5 linked regions of the Mus musculus genome follow. The main gene of each other region encodes a partner of the protein of the gene in region 2 in a complex. Links are inferred from orthologs where the notes say so. Each region holds a gene or a part of one and is shown on either strand. Other genes may lie near its edges. The genes, in order: Ppp4r1, Ppp4r3b, Ppp4r2, Ppp4r4 and Ppp4c.

Region 1 (3,919 bases), on a different chromosome or scaffold from region 2:
GTAACAAGAATGAGTGAAACCTTGGCTTTACTGGGACAATTGATGCTAGTCACTGGGTAGTGAGACCAACACACTGAGTCAAGCTCTGGGAAGGATGTTTACTCAGGGTCAGCACATACAAGGTGTGGTCCAGGGTGGGCAAATCTGCATCTCAGGTTTGGTAGCTGTTTCATGTGGTCCTGGTTTTGAGAGGTGAGAGAGGGTGAGTCAGTTCCAGGGAGCAGCAGGGCCTGGAACCACCTACCTGGATTGCACTCCTGCAGAGGTCAGGGGCCACCCGTGAAGGTGCGCGCTCTCCCACCATGGAAGCTGCAAGGCCGAAGGGGTCGTGGATGGAAGCTAAGGCTTAGCATCCTAAGGCTGGGTCAGTCCTCAAGTGAAGCCAACACCCGCCCTGGCTGCCCTTCCATGGCGCACTGAGTAGGTGGTGTTCATAGCAGCCTGGACTTCAGGCTGCTGCCGCCTGCCAAGAGGAGGGCTGACAGGTGAACACTGAGCTAAAGACAAACGCCTTTCTCCCATCTTATGCTAAGTAATACAGGCCACATACTGCATTTATTTGTAGACATTTAGGAAACAAAGTGGGTGGTGTCTCTCTTTATAGATCCTATTAATAAATTTTATTTGGAGCTTGTACCACAACAGTTCTAACAGCATGATTCAGGCTGCACACCCCAGAGTGGTCACAGGGGTGCAGCACGGGAAGACACAGTTGCACCTCAGAGCTGACCATGATCAAGTTAAAAATACCTGACACAATATTCGTGCTAAGAAATTTCCTTCAGGTCATGACCAGCATGAAAAATATCAGGAGAGATTCTGCAAACATTCTGTAAATGTGTACAGCAATGTGCTGCATTAGGAGTCAAAATCAGATTCTATTTAGTGTTAACATCAAGCCCTTAGGAGAGGAAAAACTCCTTTGTCATTTATACACGCCAAGAACTATTCACACTTAGGGCTGGGCTGGGCAGGGCAGCCAAGGAGCTGAACAGGCTCAGCACCTAGAAGAAATGCTTAGGCTAATACTGAAGGCCTTTCCTGTCCGGTGCACATCCACCTTCTGGCCGTAAGAATGTCATTTATCAGCCGTTAAATAAAACCAGAAGAAAGCAACGCAGGTCTCTGGGAACCTCATCCTTCCCGAAGGGAAAATGCTCTGCCAATTCAAGCCATCAGTCAGGAAGATGAAGGAACGAGTTAAGGCTTTGGTGACAATTATAATCCTCTGAGATTTACTTTCCCTTAAGTCAAGATAAGATAATAGTGTTTACTGTACTTTCTCTTGACTCTTAAAACCACTGGTATTGGGAGTAGGCAACCTGCACCTGCGAATGAGTTGGCAGGAGGAAGGCCCCCACCACAGCTGTCCCGAGTGGTGCAGGCAGTCGAGGCCAGGCTCTTGCGGATGCAGGATGGACACCGTGGGTCAGTAGGTGGAGGAAGCTGTGCTCATTGCATCTTCAGAGAGTTTGGTACTGGAGGGGTGAATGCTTGCAAAGTACTTGACATCACTGTCTCGGTCCATCTGCAGGGCCATGATTGTCTGCTCCACGGCCTCCTGGTGACAGCTGGCAGAGGCTAAGAAGTACTCTGGAAACGATGTGCAGGACACAACATTAGTCTTGGTGTTTGGGAGTTTAGTCAAGTACAGTCAGGTGCAGAAGGCTCGCTGCCTGCACAATAGTTCCCTGAGTAAGCACTGTGCGCGGACTCAGCCATCTGTAAGCTCACCGGTGCAGGGAAAGCAGCACTAACTTAAGAGGGACTGTGAGATTGTTTTGGTGATAGGCAAATCTCTTGACGGTGAATAAGCTCATGCTTATTAAAACAGTTCCAGCTATTTTCAGCTCAGAAAAAGGAAAAGAGCAGATAAACACCAATCACACCCAGACCCCTTTTCTAAGGGGGAAAGCCATTTTACTGTTCTTTTGAAAATGTATATGGGATTGGGGGAAGATCGAGCCAGGCAGTGGTAATGAACACCTTTAATCCCAGCACTCGGGAGGTGAGGCTGGTGGATCTCTGGGTTCTAGGTTAGGGGCCAGCCTTGCCTACAGAGTTAAGGCTACACAGAGAAACCCGGTCTCAAAAAACAAGACAAAACAAGACAAGACAAAAAAGTAAAAATATACAAAAAGCAAGGAAAAAAGCAGTATTGGCTTATTCCTGTACTATGACTTACTCTACATTTCTTCCATATCTTGTCCATGAGCTCACACACTCAACTTCATGTGGCATTTGGAGAAGGCAGTCACAGTACTAAAACCAACAAAACACATACTGCCAGGTGCCTGGCTCCTACTTAGAGAACGAAGGGAAAGACGAGCCTCCTACCTCAGCCACAATGCCCACAGTCAAGTGCAAGCTGCAGGGAGTGTCTTCACGACGGGCACGCCAGCCCTGTGTACATGGAGCCAGAGGCTACCTTGTGTACTTGGCACCCTCGTTTGACCCTGCTGAGGAGCTTGGCTGCTTCCCATTATTTACGTTCTGAAATGTTGTATATGTATGAATGTACTGTGTGTGTATGGAGGCCAGAACTGGCACTCAGTATTTTCCCTTGACTACTTTCCACATTGTACTGGCTGGCTCTGTGTGTCAACTTGACACAAGTTGGAGTCATCAGAGAGGAAGGAGCCTCAGTTGAGGAAGTGCCTCCATAAGATCCAGCTGGAGGTATTTTTTCAATTAGTGGTCAATGGGGGAGGGCCCAGCCCATGGTGGGTGGTGCCATCCCTGGGTAGGTGGTCCTTGGTTCTGTAACAAAGGCTAAGTAAGCCATGGGAAGCAAGCCAGTAAGCAGCACCCTCCATGGCCTCTGCATCAGCTCCTACCTTCAGGTTCCTGCCCTGCTTGAGCTCCTGTCCTGACTTCCTCCAATGGTGGTCTATGATCTGGAAGTGTAAGCTGAATAAATTCTTTCCTCTCTAACTTGCTTTTTGGTCAAGCAATAGAAAACCTAAGACTGTGAAACCATCCCCCCCCTTTTTTTTGAGACAGGCTTTCTAACTGAACTTTAAGCTTGTCAGTGCCTAGATGGCCACTCAGTTCCAGAGATCTACCCAACTCTGCCTTCCAACACATGCACACTATCACAACCCACACGTTTATACAGGTTCTTGGGAGCAAATGCAGATCCTCTTGCCTGCAGAGCAAACACTTTACAGAATGAACCATCCCCCCAAACACCGTATCACCAAAATTACAAGATTTAAGTTAGAAAAATGCCCTATGTCCAGAATAAAAGACTTTCACCCAAACACCAGTGTCTTCATTAAAATACCCTCCCAACTCCCACTTTTGTTTTTCAAGACAGAGTTTCTTTGTGTAGCCTTGGCTATACTGGATCAGGTTAGCCTCCAACTCACAAAAACCCATGTGCCTCTCTGTGTCTGCCTTCCAAGTGCTGGGATTGAAGGTGTGTGTCATGCTTGCCTGGCCTCTGTGACCCTCTTTACTGCTCATACATCCTACCAGCACCACCCACCTTTCTCCAGCAGAGTCTGTCGCAGGGTTTTCGCAAGCAGCACTCTAACATTGGGAACCCTGTCATTTGCCAAGGTCAGCAAATGTGGCATCAAGTGCACAGCAAACTGGTCCATGGGGAGGCAGTCGTCTTCAATGACAGTCTGGCGGGAGAGACAAGTGTGACTGTCAGCCCAGCCATCACCAAGCACAAGATGGGAACCCAGACAATACCATACGATGCTTCAGGACATTTTATGATGTTCCATCAGAGTAAATCCATTTTATTTCTACTAGAAATGGTACCCCTGCCCGTGGTGGTGGTAAAAGCAGTTGGAAGTTCTTATCTTTGAGTCTCTCTCTTTTTTTTTTAAAGAATTATTTATTATATATGAGTACACTGTCACTGTCTTCAGACACACCAGAAGAGGGCATTGGATTCTATTACAGA
Region 2 (3,919 bases):
CTCGTGATACCTCTGCCTTGCAGCCTCCTGAAAAGCATGAACGGCAGAAAGCAGGTAATCGTATCCAGCTTTTGTGGTGTATTTCCTTGTTTTGAGAAAAGAGCTTGTAGATGATAACTAACTGCTGGAATTACAGGCATAAGCAATTTATGCCTGGCAAACTTCCTTTTTTCTAATATATGAAAATTCAATGATCATAAGGATCAAAGCCAATGACTAAATTAACTGTAGAAGAGGATTTTTTTTCCTCTCTGCAACAGAGTAAATTATAACCAAGTGTAGTTTCAAGCACACAAGGACTTTTTACTCTCTAATAGGAGATTATACAATAGTAATTTTGGTTGTTTCACTAAATGTGCTAACCAATATTTTACAGTCATGGTTAAATAACAGCAATAATAACAACATGCTGTCTTGTTCATGATTAAGTGGGAATATCCCTAATATTTCTTAAATACAAAACTAACTTTTGGTGTTATACAAGTAGTATGTTAAGAAATTATCCATTTGTTCCAATTTTATTGAGCATTTGCATTTGGAAATAGGGTACAATGCACATTCTATACAGACTTACACATAGATCTGAAATGATGTATGTAAAGTTCACATTGCTATTATGTTTAAAACGGCAACAAACTGGGAATTTTCAATAGGCTCATATATAGCTAAATAAAATGGTCAACAGTTCTTTATAAAAGTCCTAAAAGAAAAAAATGTTTAACCTAAAATTTACATAATATGCAAGATAACCCTCATGTGTTTGCATTCAATGTTGGGAGTCAGGTTCTGATGATAATAAAACCTTTTCATTCTTTGAAACTTTTATCTAAATCATCAGCACACACAAAGTAGTTTTACAGATGGAAAAGGCAGAGTTTGTATGGAATTTTTATTTTACATACCTTTGTGGCTGTCACTGATGTAGCCAGGCTTGTAGTTTTGGAAGAGGCCACATTAGAACTTGCTGGTGTTGTCTGACTCACTACAGACTTACTGTTTGTACTGTTTGTTCCATTAGTAGCACTGGGGGAATGGGAGAAAGTAAATTTGAAGCCACCAGATGATGCCCTTTTGGGAAGGTTTTCTTTGTCTTCACTTTCTTTTGCTAAAGCAAAAGTAAAATGAGCCTGCATTAAATACTGCTAAGTCAAAGCATTCGTTGAAGTGACAACATACAACTTTGCCTATGTATGCTTTCTAACAGCACATGTTAAGATAAGTACATGTTCTATTTGGTCAGACTCTTAGGAACGTCAATGAACAGAACCAACCATCTTACAGTAGATTGTTCTCAGTGTTTGCTTGTAAAGAAGCTCTTAGCAGTCTGATTTCTGTTACTGTCTTCCATTCACCAACTCCCCTCTACAAATCTTCTTTCACAAGTCACCACTGAAAATTCCTAAGGATAACTCTTAAGTATCCTAGTCATTTACTCCCTAAAAACTCCAAGTTTCTTTACTTGATTTCTTTATAGCATAGGTGCCCAAACTCCTTTAAAGTCTGGTAATTTTATTTTGAAACATTTCCTAACAGCATGCATGGCCTTTGTTTCTTTTTTATCGTGATATTGAGGGCGACATCTCTACTGACTGAAAGAAATGAACTTGTCTGCTAAACAGCACCTGTTCTGGACTGGAGATAGAAAGCTCAGTGGTAGAGTGCTAGCCAGGCCCTGGGTTCAAGAGCTAGCAAGTATACAAATGAAAAGTAAATAATGTTCCTTAGAACACCAGTAGGCTTTTTGTTAGCTGTAAGTGGTCCTCATGGCACTAATAAGTAGGAAATGAGTTAGTGAGGGAATAGCTGAAAGAAAAGATACTCAGTCACCTGAATGAGATTCTAAGAAGAAATGCCTGAAGAATAAGTCATGCAAGACATAATCTTGCCTTCCAACAAATAAATTTCTATTAAATAGACAAATAGTATTTGCAGGCCATTACAGTGATTATATTTCTTTAAAGATATTAGCTATATCTTAGTTCTACATAAGTAGGAACACTTATCCCTTCCCTCGTTGAGGCAGTGTCTAATGGATCTCAGACTGGTCCCAAACTTGGTTTGTAGCTGAGGATCACTTTCAGTTTCTAGTCTTCCTCCCTCCAACTCTTTTAGTGCTGGGTCATGAGAAGGTGTCACCATGCCTGGGTTTGTTTTGCCTTTTCTGAAGACAGAGTAGCATGTAGCATGGCCTGGCCTCAAGCTCGTCGTGCTTCTACCACCTCAGCCCAAGAATGGTGGGACTAAAGGTGCTGCCACCATGCCTAACTGCACCCCCTTAAGTAATAGTTGAAATTTCAAAGAGGAAAGTCATGTCTTTGAGTTCACATTGCTCAGGCTGTAAATATCAGAGGTAGAGTGTTCTAAGCTTCTATAGTTATAGTTACTCAATAATAAAAACTTAGAAAAAATTTAGTTATAATACAAGTCTTCAATGAAATTTTAGCAAAGAAACAAAGTCAGGCCGGATCTGTTCAGAAGTATAGTATACAATAAATTTCTAAACAGTTGTCAGGTGTGGTGGCACACACTGTAACCACAGCATTTGAGAAGCTGGGGTTGGGTGACGTGACTGTGAGTTCTAGGCGACAACGAGGCTATGTACTGTGACCCTGTTTTAAATATTATAAACTGAACATTTCTAAACTCAAAATGAACAGCATTAAAAACATTAAGTTTCAAGGAAAGCATTTTAAATATGAATATCCAAGATAACTTTAAAAGGGTATGATTCAGTATAAAATTCTTGTGCTTCTTGTTTTACAAACCTTGGCCAGATTTTTTTTCAAATAAGTAAAATATTATTATTCTATGTGTGTTTGTATGTGTGTGTACTGTGTTAAGGATCAAACTCAGGCTGTATAATTGTTTTACTAAGTGGTGATATATGAAAATTACAAACATTAGTACCTTTTTTAGTTTCCATAAATTTTTCATAACTATCTGGAAAATCATCTTCAGTCTTAGATTTTTCAACTGGTGTTATGACTGCCTTTCCTTCTTCATCATCATCTTCATTAAACCACATTTCTTCATCCTCTTCTAAGGCTTTTGCATCTCTGCGAAATCGGTTACTACGCAATATAGATGGTACACTGTAAGAAATATGTCAGATGCTGAGTAATGACTACAAGGTCATAACTAGATAAACTTTGGGAAGAATGACTAACCAAGATGAACTAATGTAGTTTAACTTAGCATGTACAGCATATCAAATAAGATGTAGCTAGAGAAATCTTCAAATGTTTTTGTATGTTGCAAATTAAGACTCTATCAAAATTACTATATGCAGTATCAAGTTGTCATATAATTAACTGATGTGGCAGAAAGACAGTTTACCTTATGCTCTGCTAATAGAGAAAATTTCACTGGATAAGATCTAAACTGTGTACAATTTTGTACTTAATTTTGCTTGCTATAAATGTAATAATACACTTAAATAATACCTGTTCAGTTTCTGATTTTGTCTGTCTTTTTCTTGTTCATATTTAGTCTTCAATCCTTTGAATGTCTGAACATATTCAATCGATTCAAGTGCTTTATAAAAGTTTTCAACTATATGTGCAGTAAGAGACTTGATATCTTCCTGTATAGGCACAAAATTCACATTATAAAACAATATAATACTTGTTGAGAAAAACAAAAATAAAAACTTGTATAGTTCCAAAATTGATCAAAAAAGGTTTTTCAAAATCACCTTCTAAAAATAAATGTCCTAGATTCCTTATACATGAGCCAGGACAGGACTCCACAGAAAACTTGGAACAAGGAGAGGCAATTCACTGGAGCCCTTTAGGGGGCTATAAGGAACATTTGAAAAGCAATGGATTTAGTTTATGTCTTAGTGCTTTATACAGTAAGTACTTCATAATTTAAAGAAAACTTTTATAATTTTATATATAATTATCATAATCCTATGAAT
Region 3 (3,966 bases), on a different chromosome or scaffold from region 2:
TTCGAGACAGGGTTTCTCTGGCTGTCCTGGAACTCACTTTGTAGACCAGGCTGGCAACTCACTTTGTAGACCAGGCTGGCCTCGAACTCAGAAATCCACCTGCCTCTGCCTCCCGAGTGCTGGGATTAAAGGCGTGCACCACCACTGCCCAGCCAGAAACATCTTTTTAAAGTCAACTTTGTAATGGCTATGTCCAGATTCTCAGCGTCTCAGTTAACGTTTGGTAACAGGCTTCATCCTTTCTTTGCTGACATGGTATGTGGGCCTCAGGAAGAGAAGGTGGAACAAGCAAGAGCTTTTCTTTTTTCTTTCTTTTCTTTTCTTTTCTTTTCTTCTTTTTTTAAAAAATTATTTTGTGTGTGCCCGAGTATGCGTGTTAAAATGGAAGTCAGATGACAACCACATGCATACAATGGATAGAACTCTGGCTCTAAGCACCTTCACCAGATGAGCCATCTTGCTGGCCCACTGCAAAAGTATAAAATGTTCCGTGCTGGTTTAGAGCTAGATGTTTTGAGTTCTAGAACTATCTTGACATACTTTGTCTCCATTTGTCATAGAGTTCTAGAATTGTCTTGACATACTTCGCATCCATATTATATAATGTATGTGTGTGTGTGTGTGTGTGTGTAAAGGCATACTGGGCTTGAATGTGTCTCAGCTGGTAAAATGCTTGCCAAGTGCTTGGTTTGTATCTCAGAACCCATAAAAACAGGAGTCGTGGTAAGCCTCTATTATCCCAGCGCTTGGGAGGTGAAATCAAAAGAATGAGTAGCATAAGGTCATCTTCCAGCTTGGGAAACATAAGATCCTCGAAAATTAAACAAACAAACAAACAAACATTGAAAATGTGTTCTCTGAGCCCTAGTGATGACAGCAACAGTACACAGGGACCACAAGAGTGGTCGGCACCAGCGCCTTCAGTGTACTGATGGGGAAACGGAGGCTCAGAGAAGCAATGTGGACACATCAGCTACACTCTTCCTCTGTTCAGCGGCGTCCGCAGCGCGCAGCTCCAGCCGCGGGCTCCGAACTCGCGCCTCGATCCCGTGCGCCTCCGCCGCGCACGCGCACTGGGCGGGCCGGGAGCGCTCCTGGGCGTGTGTGGGTGTGTGCGCGCGCGCAGCGGGCGCGAGGACGACAGCTGTGGGGAGCGTGCGCGCGCTGACGTGCCGGGCGCCATGTTGGAGGGCTGGTGGTAGCGGCTCGGGGAGGTTCTCGCTCTGTCCGTCTCGCTCCGTCTCTCGCTTCCCCCCGCCCCGGCTCCCTTCGGGACCCCCCTCCCCGGTCGCCGGCGTGTGGCGGAGTGTGTGCGAGGGCGGGGGCGGGCGTCCGGGGGGGCGGGGGCGGGCGCCGCGGCCCCCGGGACGGCGGCCGAGGGAGGCGCCGGCGGCGAGGGACTGCGCGGCGCCATGGACGTCGAGAGGCTGCAGGAGGCGCTGAAAGGTGGGGGTCGCCGCGCTGCCGGCCGCGCGCTCGGGCGGAGGCCGCCCGCGCCTCCCTGCTGTAGCTGTCGCCGGCGCGGGGCTTTGTGTGGGTTGCGGGCGTGGGGTGGGGGGGAGGGGAGCGCCTAGCACCGGCGCGGCCTCGTCGTGCGGCGGCGGCGGCGGCCTCCGGGCCTGGGGAGGTTCGCACTCATCAGACGCTGGGGCCGCGGCTTGGCAAGCAACAGGCTCGAGAACACTGCTTCCCAAACTTGGAACCGCGGGGTCCCGGCGTTCTGAAAACACCCCCACCCCCTAGGACATGCGGGAGCATTTGGAGGATGGCGGCTCGGTTGGGTGGCTTTAGTGGCTTGGGGCTGGATTCATTCAGGTGCACGCTGCGGCGGTCGGGGTTCGGGTCGGATGCCGGGGCTCCCTGCGCCACACTTGGGGAACACTGAAGGATAGTCTGTGAGGTGGAGTGCCCCCTTTAGGAGAATTTGCACTGCCGGTGAAAAAGGGTAACGAGGAGGTAGGAATTCAGGGTGCACGTATGTGGGTATTTGAGTGAGAGGCTGATTTTCTTTCTTAAATTAAAAAAAAAAATTTCGTTTTGACACAGTTTTTCTGTGTTGCCTTGGCTGGTCTGAAACTCAAAGAAATCCGCCTGCTTCTGCCTCCCAAGTGCAGAGATTAAAGGCTTGTCCCACAGGCGCCCAGCTGAGTCTGATTTTCTTAATTGTTTCCAAATGTAGAGAAAGTTTGAATGTTCTTGGCAAGGACGTAGTGATAACCCTTTTTTTTTTCTTTTTCTTATCTAGATTTTGAGAAGAGAGGGAAAAAGGAAGTTTGTCCTGTACTGGATCAGTTTCTCTGTCATGTAGCTAAAACTGGAGAAACAATGTAAGTAGAAACATGGGTTCGTGGTCACAGGCCTACCTGTCATTCAGAGTTGCTCAGGAATGTGGGGGAGAGAGGATTTCAAAACACTCACGGAATAGATCTGTCCAAATTCGAGACCCCTGGGGATGGGTGAGATAGCCCAACAGGTTAAGGTGTTGACTAGCAGGCCTGAGGGCTTGCGTTTGATCTGGGAGTGCCACATAATAGAGCTGATTCCCAAAAGTTGTCCTCGGACTCAAACACAAATCAATAAGTGAATGTAAGTTAAAAAATTGAGATGCCTTAAAGATCACAGTAGAGGTGAGAATCTTTCTGCATGTTGCATAACAGTTGTTAAGAATTTATCAGAGTTTTTTAGATTTCTATACTTTGGCACAAAGAACCTACTAGTTTTAGTTGGAAAGAACTTAGGAAAGAATGTTCCATTGTGTGGCTTTGATACTGTTTCAGGGATTTGTTGAGGATTTTTTTTTTTTTTTTTTTTTGTGCTGTTGCTTACCCAGCCTTTTGTTTTCTTACTAATTCTTGTAGTTGTTTGAAGTCTAACTTGTATTTCTTGCCTTGAGGACTTAAGGTGATTATCTGACACGTTCCAGATGGTGAGGTTGTCACTGTCCTGACCTAGGCTAGCTAACTTACATATGCCCAACATCTTACTAGGCTCTTTTCCAAAAGTTGCTCTCAACTTATACTGTATTTTTTATCCAAAGGAAGAATCTAGTTTTATTATTCTATAGCTTGTGTGGAAAAAGTTGCTCTCACAGTTTGGCTCAGTTACTCTGGAAGATAACCCATCTTTGTACACTGCTCTGAGTAGGGTAGGGTGAGGAGCAGGAAAGAGGAAAGGTTATTTTGGGTTCATGTTGGTGAACTGCCTGCTTAGTTTGAATAATATAATCACTCAGCAAGTGATTGTACAGCTTCTCTGTCATTAGCACTGTTCAGTCAGGGCCTGGAGCCACAACTATTTATTTTAGACCAGGCTGGATTTGAACTCTGATCTGTATTGCCCCTGCCTTCTTAATAGGTAGCCAAACCAGGCTGTTTTTATCCTTTTAGGTGTAACCTTCACCTAGCTCAGGTGGTTTGGAACTCAGTAGGTAACCCAGACTGACTTCATACTCAGACGTGCCTCAGCCACCAAGTGCTGGGGTTACAGATGTGACTGCCACCCCGGCTTCCCTCATTGTTGTCAACATCTTGTTATTATTATTGATTACTGGAGGGCACTGGAGCTGGGACCTAGTGTCTCATGTGCAAGACAAGAAAGAGCCATAACACTGAACTACATTCTCAGCCCCTTAAAAATTTTCTTTTAAGCCTTTAATCCCAGCACTCGAGGCCGAGGCAGGCAAATCTCTTGTGAGTTCAAGCCAGCTTGGTTTACAGAGTGAGTACTGGGACAGCCAGGGCTGCACAGAAAAACCCTGTCTTGAAAAAAGAAATATTTTGAGAGTTACCCACACACTGGCTTTGAACTTAGGGTCCTGCTTTTTCATCTCTGTAGTGCTGGAACTACATGCATGCCCCAACATGCTCAGATCTGTCTTTATTAACAAGTATTCATTTCTTACACGATTCATTTATGGTTGTAGTTTAGCTTTCTAATAACTAGCTGCATTTTAGAAATATCTGGTGT
Region 4 (4,700 bases), on a different chromosome or scaffold from region 2:
TTGTCTGCTTGCTTGCTTTTGTTCGTGTGTTTATCTGTTGGTTTATCCATTTGGTTTGGGTTTTGTTTGGTATAATTATCGAAGACCATGATCAGTAGGGTCCAAATGGAAAGTACACTGATACACAGTAAGAAGAGAAACTCATGGTGCCACCAGGAAGAATATTGAAGGAAAGTCCTGAAGAGAGGCTGAGGGTGCAGTTCTGTGGTAAACACTTTGTGTAACACAGACAAGGCCCTGAATCTGAGGAAGAGGGGGAAGAATCTTAAGGAATTCTTTATATAATCATTCAATGAATACCATGGGACTGGAAATATGATCTATAATCTATAATCAAGAACAGAATAAGAAGATAGACAGCAGCTGAAGCTAGTAAGGCAGACCTAAACAAAGGAGACGGACTTTATAGGAGGTAGCACCAGTCTTCAAACCCTGATTCTAAACAGCGATCACAAAGACTAATTTCCCAAAAGAAAAGAAAATTATATACATACACACACACACACAGGTGAAAATAATTCTTAAATATATACAAACGCCTAGAAGATTTTCTATTTCTGAAGACTTTTCATCAATATATTTACCCTTTAAAATTATTCAAATCATTTGTATTACTGTGTTTATACATATCTGCATAATATAAGTTGATTCTAGCAATGTACTGTAATCCCCACCCCACCCCCGCGCCCAGCACCCAAATGGAGACCTTTGTGACTGAAGTAATGTAGAATCATCAGAAGCATATATAGCGACAACATAACCACTTGTCTCAAGCTATTCTGTAGAGCCCACGAGATGGTCTGAAACTTAGAGAGTAGAGTCAACTTAATTTAAAAAAAAAAAGAAAAAAAGAAACTTGCAAGCAATATAAAGCTCACATTACAAAAGTAATAATAAACTATATTCTGAGCAAAAATTCATGTTTTTGAATTTTTCTATATAGTATTGCATACAATATCCATTCTCTACAATAAACTTAAAATTTTAATCACTGGGTACCTTTAAATCTTATCTATGCTTACTGACTCGTGCATGAGCATACTTGGAAAGTAATTTCAAAAGGATGTGATTCAATTCAAACCATTAGCTGCTCTGCAGTTCCTCCTCCAGGCAGTGTTCTTTAAATTAGATATGTTATTTGATTCCAGTTCTCAGATCCATAAGCCCAAACCTAACATAATTCATAACATAATTGTGATGCATGCAAAAAAGTACCCTGTTCAAGGGGAACAGTCCGTCTGAACACCCTCAGCAACTGAGACATGACATTTCAGAAACAGCTCATGTTTGCCCAACAGGCAAAGGGCAGCAATTTGCAAGAAAGAGTGAGACCTACCTGAGCAGATAAACAGCCCTGTCAATATCACTGAGATCTTCATCAACAGTCAGTCTTTCTATTTCTTCTGGTGTCTGTCAAGGATAAAATGCAAATTAGGCACACAAACATTTGGTCACTGTTGGCTCCCAAAGACCCTTGAAGACCCTATTGGTAAAAATTCACAATTATAGCAATGACAACTAATCTGGAATCTGAGGATTGTTCTACACCATATTAAACACAGATCTCCAGTTGAGTGCTGAGAGGGGGGACTATCTGTACTCTTCTGCCTTATAGACTGTAGGACCTCAATGGAATCAACTTCATTACACATACATACCACATGTGAACATATTTACCTATATATTCACATATTTTTTTGTCTTCAACGCAGTACCCCAAGCCGCTACAACATTTTCCACACTGGGAAATGCTTTAAAGGGGAGTTGAATAAAACAGAAAGGACAAGCTTTGTAGCTCCTGTTGGGAACCGAATGAACTCAGACGGAAAGAAAATCAAAGGCTCTAGAAAGGTAATGAAGAACTGGCAAGAAGGGTAGGGAAGGGGCCCATAAACTAGGTTTGTCATCTGTGAGGATGAGGGTTGAAACCCCACAAGGCTGGAAAGATGACTCTGCGGGGTTGGGGAGCGAGGTAGGGGGGGAAACAGAAGGTTGACTCCCCTCAAGGGGGCTGGGGAGCAGGGTCCCGCCTACAGTCCTGGAGGACCTGGGAGGAAAAGGATGCATGGTGACTCAGGATGGGAGGCAAGGGTTGAGGAGAAGCTTTCAAACCCTAAACTAGGGCGACTCTGGGAAGGGTGCCTCTCCTTGGAAGGTGAAGGAGGCCATGCTGCACGGGGAGACCCAAGCTTGATCTTATGCAGAGGTGGGGGTAGGACCGTGAAAGGATGGGACCTGAGACGTCCGGGCGAGAGATGGAACTAGGGCTGTGTGAAACCCAGGATGGGCCAGCGACCAGAACCTGGGACAGCACCACGGGCTGAGGAGCTGGCTGCGGAGGCTGGCCCCGAGAACAGCGGCTTGGCCGTTCCTGGGGGAGGCCGGAGCCGGGTGGGGCGCAGGGCTGGCCGCAGTCGGGGGACCAAGTCGGGGGGGCCCGGCTGATTCCAGTTAGTCAGGGGCAGGTTGATTTCAGTTCGGAGACTGGGCTGGCCGTAGTCAAGGGACCCAGCCGGCTCCAGTCAGAGGAAGGGACTAGCCTCAGTCAGGAGGCAGGGCTAGCTCTAGCCAGGGTAAGGGACTGGTTCCAGTCAGGGGTCAGGGACAGGCCGACCCTTGGCTGCGGCAGGGAATGAAGCTCTGAAGCGGCTGCGGTGACAGGGCGACTGGCGCTGGAGCGCCGAGGGGCAGTCGGACGGCGGGCAGCCCTGAGGGGAGCGTCTCTCGGTCCCGCGCACCTTGAGGCTCCGGCGGACCGGCCTCTCGATGATGGTGAGCTCCTGCAGGTCCTCCATGTAGCCAAACAGGCTGTTCTGCCCGAAATCCATCGCGACGCCGGCGTCGGGCGGCGGCGGATGCATGGACCGCCGAGGGGCTCCCTCGCCGGCCCGCCCGAGCGGCCCCGGGATGCCGGACGCGCGCAGCCCCGCGCCGCCCACCAGAAGGACTCTCTGGTCCCGCTCTCGGCCGCGGGGAAGCAGAGCAAGAGGCCGCAGGCGACGAGAACACGAGCGCGGCGGGAGCCGGAGAGCAGCGCACCGAGGGGGCGGGGCGGGTGGAGGGGGCGGGGCGGGTGGAGGGGGCGGGACCAGAACAGGGAGCCGCCTCAGCGGCCGCCTCGGCCCCGCCCCCGCCCGGGGTCTGCGCGCGAGGTAGGACGCAACTGCCGCGCAACGACGCTCCCTGGTCCGGCTCCCTGGGCCCCCGCCCCACCCTTATGGGGCGAGCCCCGCCCCTCGGCGCGTGCGCAGAGCTCTCCGCGTCCCCAGGCGGCCAGGAGGCGGGCCGGGGGCGGGAAATGGGCGCGGGCAGGCTGAGCCAATGAGAGTGAAGCGGGGGAAGTGTGCAGTGTGCTGGGCTCCTCTGCACCTGTGAGAGTGACTTTCTGGTTATTTGGTGGCTGCTCTGCTGGCCTGCTTCTGGTGTAGACAAGCCCCTGCTAACTCAACTCCCGGCCTAGGGACCCTCGAGTGGCCAAATCAAGCTGGTTTAGTGCCTAGTGTGTGCCTGAGGATAGGAGACAGGTATATGCGAATACAGTTCTGCAGTCCTGACGTTGGAAGAAGGAAAATGTCCCAAAATGCCTTCTTTAAAAAAAAAAAAAAAAAAAAAAAAGACCTATACTGAATCCTGAAAAATCAATAAGGATTTACTAAGAGAGGTTACAGCCAGCCCTTTCGGATAAAACTTGGGCCATGATGAGTGCAGCTCTTCTTAGAGAACTGGGAGGTAGTGCTTAGCACAGTGGGTAGAAAGAGATGTGTAAGACCTCGGTGGAGCACTACCTTGCTCTTGCTCTAGGGGAGCACATTGATTCAACTCGCTTACATTTGGTTCTAGTCAAAATAAGACAGGGAAGGGTTGGAGAGATGACCCAGTTGTTAAAAACACTGGCTCCTCTTCCAGAAGACACAGTTTCTATACCTAGCGCTACTGTAGGGACTAGTAAACCCCTGAAAGTCCAATTCCAGGGCCCTCTTTTGACCGCCTGACAATACGCAGACGTGCACAGCCATTTACATAGGTAAAAGTGCCACACCTGACACTCAGTTCCATCCATTGGACACAGTGAAAGAAGGGACTGAGTCTTACAAGTTGTCCAATGACCTCCACACTCACTCCATCTTACAGGCATGCACACACACACACCACACACATGATGTCTCAAAGAGTAAGAACACTTGCTGGGCAGTTCTAAAGAAATGAATTCAGATCCTAGCACCCACATTTAATAATAATAATTTTTAAAAAGCCAGCATGAGCCTGTAACCCCCACACGTGGGGGCTGAAGACAAAAGGACCCCAAGAGCTTGCAATCTGCCTTCCACTTCCATGAGAGACCCTACCATGACGGAGAAAAGCAGGGCAAGACACTGGATAGCTTCCTCTGGCTTCTTCATGAAACAAACCATTAGCTCTCAAAGCCAGGACAAAGGGCCAAGGTGCCTATTTGATACATCCAATCGGACCTGGTCTCCAGGTTCTCCTAGCATCCCTCATTCCCTGCCTGTTAGAGGGTATGGCTAGCACACTCTGCCCTCTACCCTGAACTCCCCAGCCCAGGGGCTGCCTGCCCTTCCCCCCAGAGGCTCTTCCCCATATAACCCAGACATCTTGGTTACTCGCCCTATTTGTACCTTTGACCTGGCCGCTGCACCTGGTTCCCTCTGCCCCTTCTCCCAGCCCTTCCCCCTGCTCAC
Region 5 (4,712 bases), on a different chromosome or scaffold from region 2:
CCTCATTATGTATCCTTGGCTTGCCTGGATATGTAACTTGATGTGTAAACCAGGCTAGTCTCAAGAAATCTGCCTGTCTGTGTCTGCCTCATGTGTGCTGGGATTAAAGGATTGTGGCACTGTAACAGGAATTTACATTTAAGAAATGGGCTGTGGTGTAGTTTTTTTCTTTTTGCTACTTTGTGGGTTCTTCTAACAATATCTTCCCTGGCTCAGCTCAGCATTGTCTTTTCTACCCTACTCCTGTGATGATTTCCACAAAGACCTCCTAGAATAGTGGCAGATCAAGCTGGAAACTTGCTGAGCCCGGGAATCCAATTTCCAGAGGAGCAACACCAGACTCTTCCACAGGCCTCAAATCAATACCAGGAACACACACGTGGAATGTCAGCACTTGGTAGGTAAGGCAGAAAGATCCAGGTTATACTTGGCTCTATAGCAAGTTCAAGGCTAGCCTAAGATGTGGGAGTACCTTTTACAGTCAGGCATGATGGCATGGTGGTAGAAGCAGAGGATTCCAGGCTCCAAACCAGCCTAAGAGACAGTGAGATCCTGTCTCCAAAACAAAGACTTCAAACCAAACAGGGCTAGAGATGTAGCTCAGCAAGAGAAAGCAAACCAGGACACCAGCTGCCACGTCCTCAGTGGGTAACCTGCATCAAGTCACTAGTACCTACAAGTCATGGCTTCCTACTCTGTAAAAAGAAGCCATCACTTGAGAGAGAGAGATGGATGGATCTCTTTGGGTTCAAGGCCAGCTAGGGCTACATGAGAGGACAGACAGGCACACACACATATTCTCCCGGCCTCACAGAACTCGTGGGGAAGGGGAAGGAGCAGGTTACTATCCATTAAACAGGGTGGAAGTCACACTGCAAGTTTCCGGCCTCAACTGTTACCTACCTACTCCCACCCTATCTGAATATTCCTTCTCACTGTGCTGTTGGCTGGTCAATGTATCTTTCAAGGTCTACCTTTTCTTTTTCTTTTCTTTTTCTTTTTTGTTTTTTCAAGATAGGGTTTCTCTATGTAGCCCTGGCTGTCCTGGAACTCACTTTGTAAACCAGGTTGGCCTGGAACTCAGAAATCCACCTGCCTCTGCCTCCCAAGTGCTGGGATTAAAGCCGTGTGCCACCACACCCGGCTGGTCTACCTTTTCTTAGAAGCACCTTGGTTACCAGAGGGTGGTATCACACGCCTTTAATCCCTGCACTGGAAAGGGGGGGGGGGCGGGGGCGGCGCAGGGATCTCTGAGTTTAAGGTCAGCCTGGTCTACAGTGAGTTAAAAGATAAGGCAGGAGGGCTACACAGAGAAACCCTGTCTCTGAAACAAAACAAAACCAAACACCCCCCCCCACAAAGTTTCAGCTAGCTTCAATCTTTGAATACCATCTCATAACTTTCAACATCATGCTAAACTCACTTCCTGCGCAGAATGGTCACAACTGTTTTACTCAACACAACTTGTTCCATTTTACTGACTCCTAAGACACTTCAAAATCAACACCACACAAAGTGGCAGAGCTCAGACTCAAATCCACAGTCACTGCACCCCAAACTGGGATCCTGACTTACAATTTCCTTCTACTTCCCAGAGAACTCTGCCTCTCTCCATATCCATATCATGCTTAGCTCTCATGTTGTGGCCTTGACCTAGCTTAGGATGACCCTAAACCCCTCATTCTCCTTTCTTGGCATCCCAAGGGCTTGGGAGGGGCTGTTGAGAGGGGCTGGAGATAGCTCAATGGTTAACAGCACCGACTGCTCTTCTGAAGGTTCTGAGTTCAAATCCCAGCAACCACATGGTGGCTCACAACCATCTGTAATGATATCTGATGCCCTCTTCTGGTGTGTCTGAGGACAGCTACAGTTTACTTACATAAAAATAATAAATAAATCTTTAAAAAAAATTGTGTTGAAGCTGTGAGTTTTTTCAAAAACTCTTCCTTTTTTGAAAAGACCTCAACTCAGTAAAATGAGCTAGTCTGAAACTCTTCTAGTGTGACCTATTTATTGTTTTTCTTAGGATCGTAATGGAACACGAAGGTGGCTCAACTCCGTCTTCCAGAATCATAACTAAAAGGATCCGTATTCACAAGATCTGGCTTCAGATTCCATTCCTTCCTTGCTGGTAATTTTGAACAATTGGAGTCCTTGTTTGTTAAACTAGACACAAAGTCATTTTCTCTTTTAAGGACTGACGGGATTGAGAGGCTTTCGCAAATCACGTTTTGTTTTCTTGCCTTGAACCATCTCCTCACTCTTTAAGAATCTGTCCGAGAACTCAGCCCCTCCAAGAAACTTTCACCCCAGCAGGGCAAGCCATTTTCCCTGAGTTCCCTAGAACTTCCTGCCACTCGCTCTTACTCCACTAGAAACCCATACACAGCCGCCCCGTGGTTCCTGGGGAGAAGTGGCTCTCCGGACCTCTCTCTGGCGACGTTTCCGGGCTTGGGCAAGCCCTAAGTTCTCGGCGGAGTTTGCCCGGCCGAGACCCCCGGGGCGACCGGCTGGAGTCCCTTCCGCGGGCTCACCTGGCCTTGGCGCACAGGGCCTTGACTTCGCTCTCTTTGATCAGCTCGCAGCGCCGTAGCTGCTCGATCTGCCGGTCCAGGTCGCTGATCTCCGCCATGGCCCACCCCCCCGGCGCGGGTCAGAGTCGGGGCCGCCGCCCCCTCCGGACCGCACAGGGGTCTCCTGGGAAAAGGGAAGGCGAGCCCGCCAATCAGAGGGTCCGTGCGGGAGGGGGGACTCGATTCTGGGACCGCCCCCCCCTCCCCTCACGGCGGCCCAGGACCCTCCGCGTCCCGCTGCCCTGGCCGCACCCCGCCAACTCCCGTCGAACCCCGCGGGCCCGCGCTAAGGACGGTGGCCTAGAGGGGCCTCGGACAATTACCGCCGCGGAGACTCCGGCTGAGTCTCTTCGACTCCCCACTTCCCTCCGCTTTGGGCCTCCGCCACCGCCGCTTCTACTTCCGGCCTCGCCGCGGAAGCAAAGGGAAACCAGTGCTCTCGCGCGCCGGAAGTGACGCACACGAGCCACGCCTCGCTGAGGCACCGGGAAGGAGAAGAGAAGTAGCCGGAAGTGGGCGGGCGAAGTTGGTTGGAGGCAAATACAGCAGTGCGCCTGGTGTACTTGTGTATGCCTGGTGAGGCGAGCCGCGGTAGGCTTCTCATCTCACATTACATTATTCCCTGGGCTGCTTCTATTACAGATCTCACGGATAAAACTGCCTTGTTCATCATTGCCTCTCCGGTGTTTAGAATAAGGCCAAGTATTGCAGATATGCATAAATAATTGTTCAATGAAAGAGCCTATCCTGGTCCACATTTCTTGCCACGGTCCCATGGAGGAGCTCCGAACCTGGGCCAGACATAGTGGCCTATTTGTAATCCCAGAACTCAGGAGGCTAAGGCTGATCGTGGATACTAGGCTGTCAAAGCTACAGAGCAAACACTTGGCGGGGGGCGGTCACCTCACGAAGATAGCATATCTGATAAAAGAACTTGTCACCAAACCTACTGACCTGATTTGGATCCCCAGAACCCATATGGTGATGAGAGAAAACACGGAGGCTTAAATCTAATTGAAAAAAAATTTTTTAAGTGTCCACTCTCTGGACACCAAGCTTTTCCAAAATAGTTCACTTTTTTTCTTGACAGGGTTGCACTGTAGCTTAGAATAGCCCAGATTTCACAGCGAATCTCAGCCCAGATATTAATCAACCACACCCAACAATGCTTCTTATTGCCTGAACATATTCCTTGAAGGTGGCAATGGGTTTGGAGGCTAGCTTGATCACAGTTGAATGCTGAAAGTCTGGAGTTTCAATCAAAGCTCAAATATGAATCCATAGCTGTACTTGGTGGTGCACGCCTTTAATCCCAGCACTCAGGAGGCAGAGGCAGGCAGATTTGGGAGTTCGAGGCCAGCCTGGTCTACAAAGTGAGTTCCAGGACAGCCAGGGCTATACAGAGAAACCCTGCCTCAAAAAGCAAAAAACAAAAATTAATCCAGAAAAAAGTGGTTTTCAGGTCTGGCTTTCACCTTTCATTTGCTGAAACTCAAAGCAACACAAACACTAAGCCAGCCCCTGGAGCTCCCCAAATTCGCAGTGCATGCAGTCTGCCTCCTTTCTCTTTGCCTTTTGCTGTAGGCAGAGCAGGTTATTGATCTTCTGCACACCATACTCCCTCTTTTTCAGTATTCTATTGTCCCTCTCAATTTTGAACAATTTTTATGTGCCTTAAGATTTTCTTATAGAGGGTGGGGAGATGGCTCAGTGGTTAACACTGACTGCTCTTCCAGCCTGCCAACCACCTGGGTTCAATTCCCAGCACCCACATGGCTGCTCACAACTGTTCCAGAGGATCCAACACTCACACATACACACATTTCAGTTAAAATACCAATGTATATAAAATAAAAAGGATCGCCTCATAGAAGCTAGGAGAATAGCACATGCCTTTCATCCCAGTACTTGGAAAGCAGATCTTGAGAGTTCAAGGCCAGTGTGGGCTACAGAATTCTAGAGAGCAAGGCTACAAGTACGTGATGAGCAGTAAAATGGGAGGCTGAAGTTTGGGGAAGCATAGGGATTTGAGTTTTCCCTTGCAGCACTGGGGAAGGAACCAGAGCTTTGAGTACTCAGCCACTGGGCTCTATCCACAGCCTGCGCATAGCTTTGACTATTGGCCAATACATGGGAATA

What was found.
Region 1: Ppp4r3b (region 2) and Ppp4r1 share a complex: the UniProt entries of both Homo sapiens proteins name them as parts of the PP4 complex. The link is inferred for Mus musculus from reciprocal best matches to the Homo sapiens genes PPP4R3B and PPP4R1.
Region 3: Ppp4r3b (region 2) and Ppp4r2 share a complex: the UniProt entries of both Homo sapiens proteins name them as parts of the PP4 complex. The link is inferred for Mus musculus from reciprocal best matches to the Homo sapiens genes PPP4R3B and PPP4R2.
Region 4: Ppp4r3b (region 2) and Ppp4r4 share a complex: the UniProt entries of both Homo sapiens proteins name them as parts of the PP4 complex. The link is inferred for Mus musculus from reciprocal best matches to the Homo sapiens genes PPP4R3B and PPP4R4.
Region 5: Ppp4r3b (region 2) and Ppp4c share a complex: the UniProt entries of both Homo sapiens proteins name them as parts of the PP4 complex. The link is inferred for Mus musculus from reciprocal best matches to the Homo sapiens genes PPP4R3B and PPP4C.

Annotation. Positions count from the first base shown.
Region 1 is NC_000083.6:65,838,531-65,842,449, reverse strand, and holds the end of Ppp4r1 (serine/threonine-protein phosphatase 4 regulatory subunit 1), read right to left. Parts: intron 3,633-3,919; coding exon 3,491-3,632; intron 1,594-3,490; coding exon 1,430-1,593; 3' UTR 524-1,429; downstream 1-523. UniProt on the Homo sapiens protein: Regulatory subunit of serine/threonine-protein phosphatase 4. May play a role in regulation of cell division in renal glomeruli. The PPP4C-PPP4R1 PP4 complex may play a role in dephosphorylation and regulation of HDAC3.
Region 2 is NC_000077.6:29,210,780-29,214,698, reverse strand, and holds part of Ppp4r3b (serine/threonine-protein phosphatase 4 regulatory subunit 3B), read right to left. Parts: intron 3,798-3,919; exon of another isoform or gene 3,695-3,797; intron 3,584-3,694; coding exon 3,444-3,583; intron 3,093-3,443; coding exon 2,908-3,092; intron 1,106-2,907; coding exon 903-1,105; intron 1-902. UniProt on the Homo sapiens protein: Regulatory subunit of serine/threonine-protein phosphatase 4 (PP4). May regulate the activity of PPP4C at centrosomal microtubule organizing centers.
Region 3 is NC_000072.6:100,832,472-100,836,437, forward strand, and holds the start of Ppp4r2 (serine/threonine-protein phosphatase 4 regulatory subunit 2), read left to right. Parts: upstream 1-1,166; 5' UTR 1,167-1,412; coding exon 1,413-1,446; intron 1,447-2,245; coding exon 2,246-2,327; intron 2,328-3,966. UniProt on the Homo sapiens protein: Regulatory subunit of serine/threonine-protein phosphatase 4 (PP4). May regulate the activity of PPP4C at centrosomal microtubule organizing centers.
Region 4 is NC_000078.6:103,530,781-103,535,480, reverse strand, and holds the start of Ppp4r4 (serine/threonine-protein phosphatase 4 regulatory subunit 4), read right to left. Parts: upstream 2,917-4,700; 5' UTR 2,862-2,916; coding exon 2,739-2,861; intron 1,411-2,738; coding exon 1,337-1,410; intron 1-1,336. UniProt on the Homo sapiens protein: Putative regulatory subunit of serine/threonine-protein phosphatase 4.
Region 5 is NC_000073.6:126,789,527-126,794,238, forward strand, and holds the start of Ppp4c (serine/threonine-protein phosphatase 4 catalytic subunit), read right to left. Parts: upstream 3,022-4,712; 5' UTR 2,897-3,021; intron 2,839-2,896; exon of another isoform or gene 2,698-2,838; 5' UTR 2,633-2,697; coding exon 2,535-2,632; intron 1-2,534. UniProt on the Homo sapiens protein: Protein phosphatase that is involved in many processes such as microtubule organization at centrosomes, maturation of spliceosomal snRNPs, apoptosis, DNA repair, tumor necrosis factor (TNF)-alpha signaling, activation of c-Jun N-terminal kinase MAPK8, regulation of histone acetylation, DNA damage checkpoint signaling, NF-kappa-B activation and cell migration.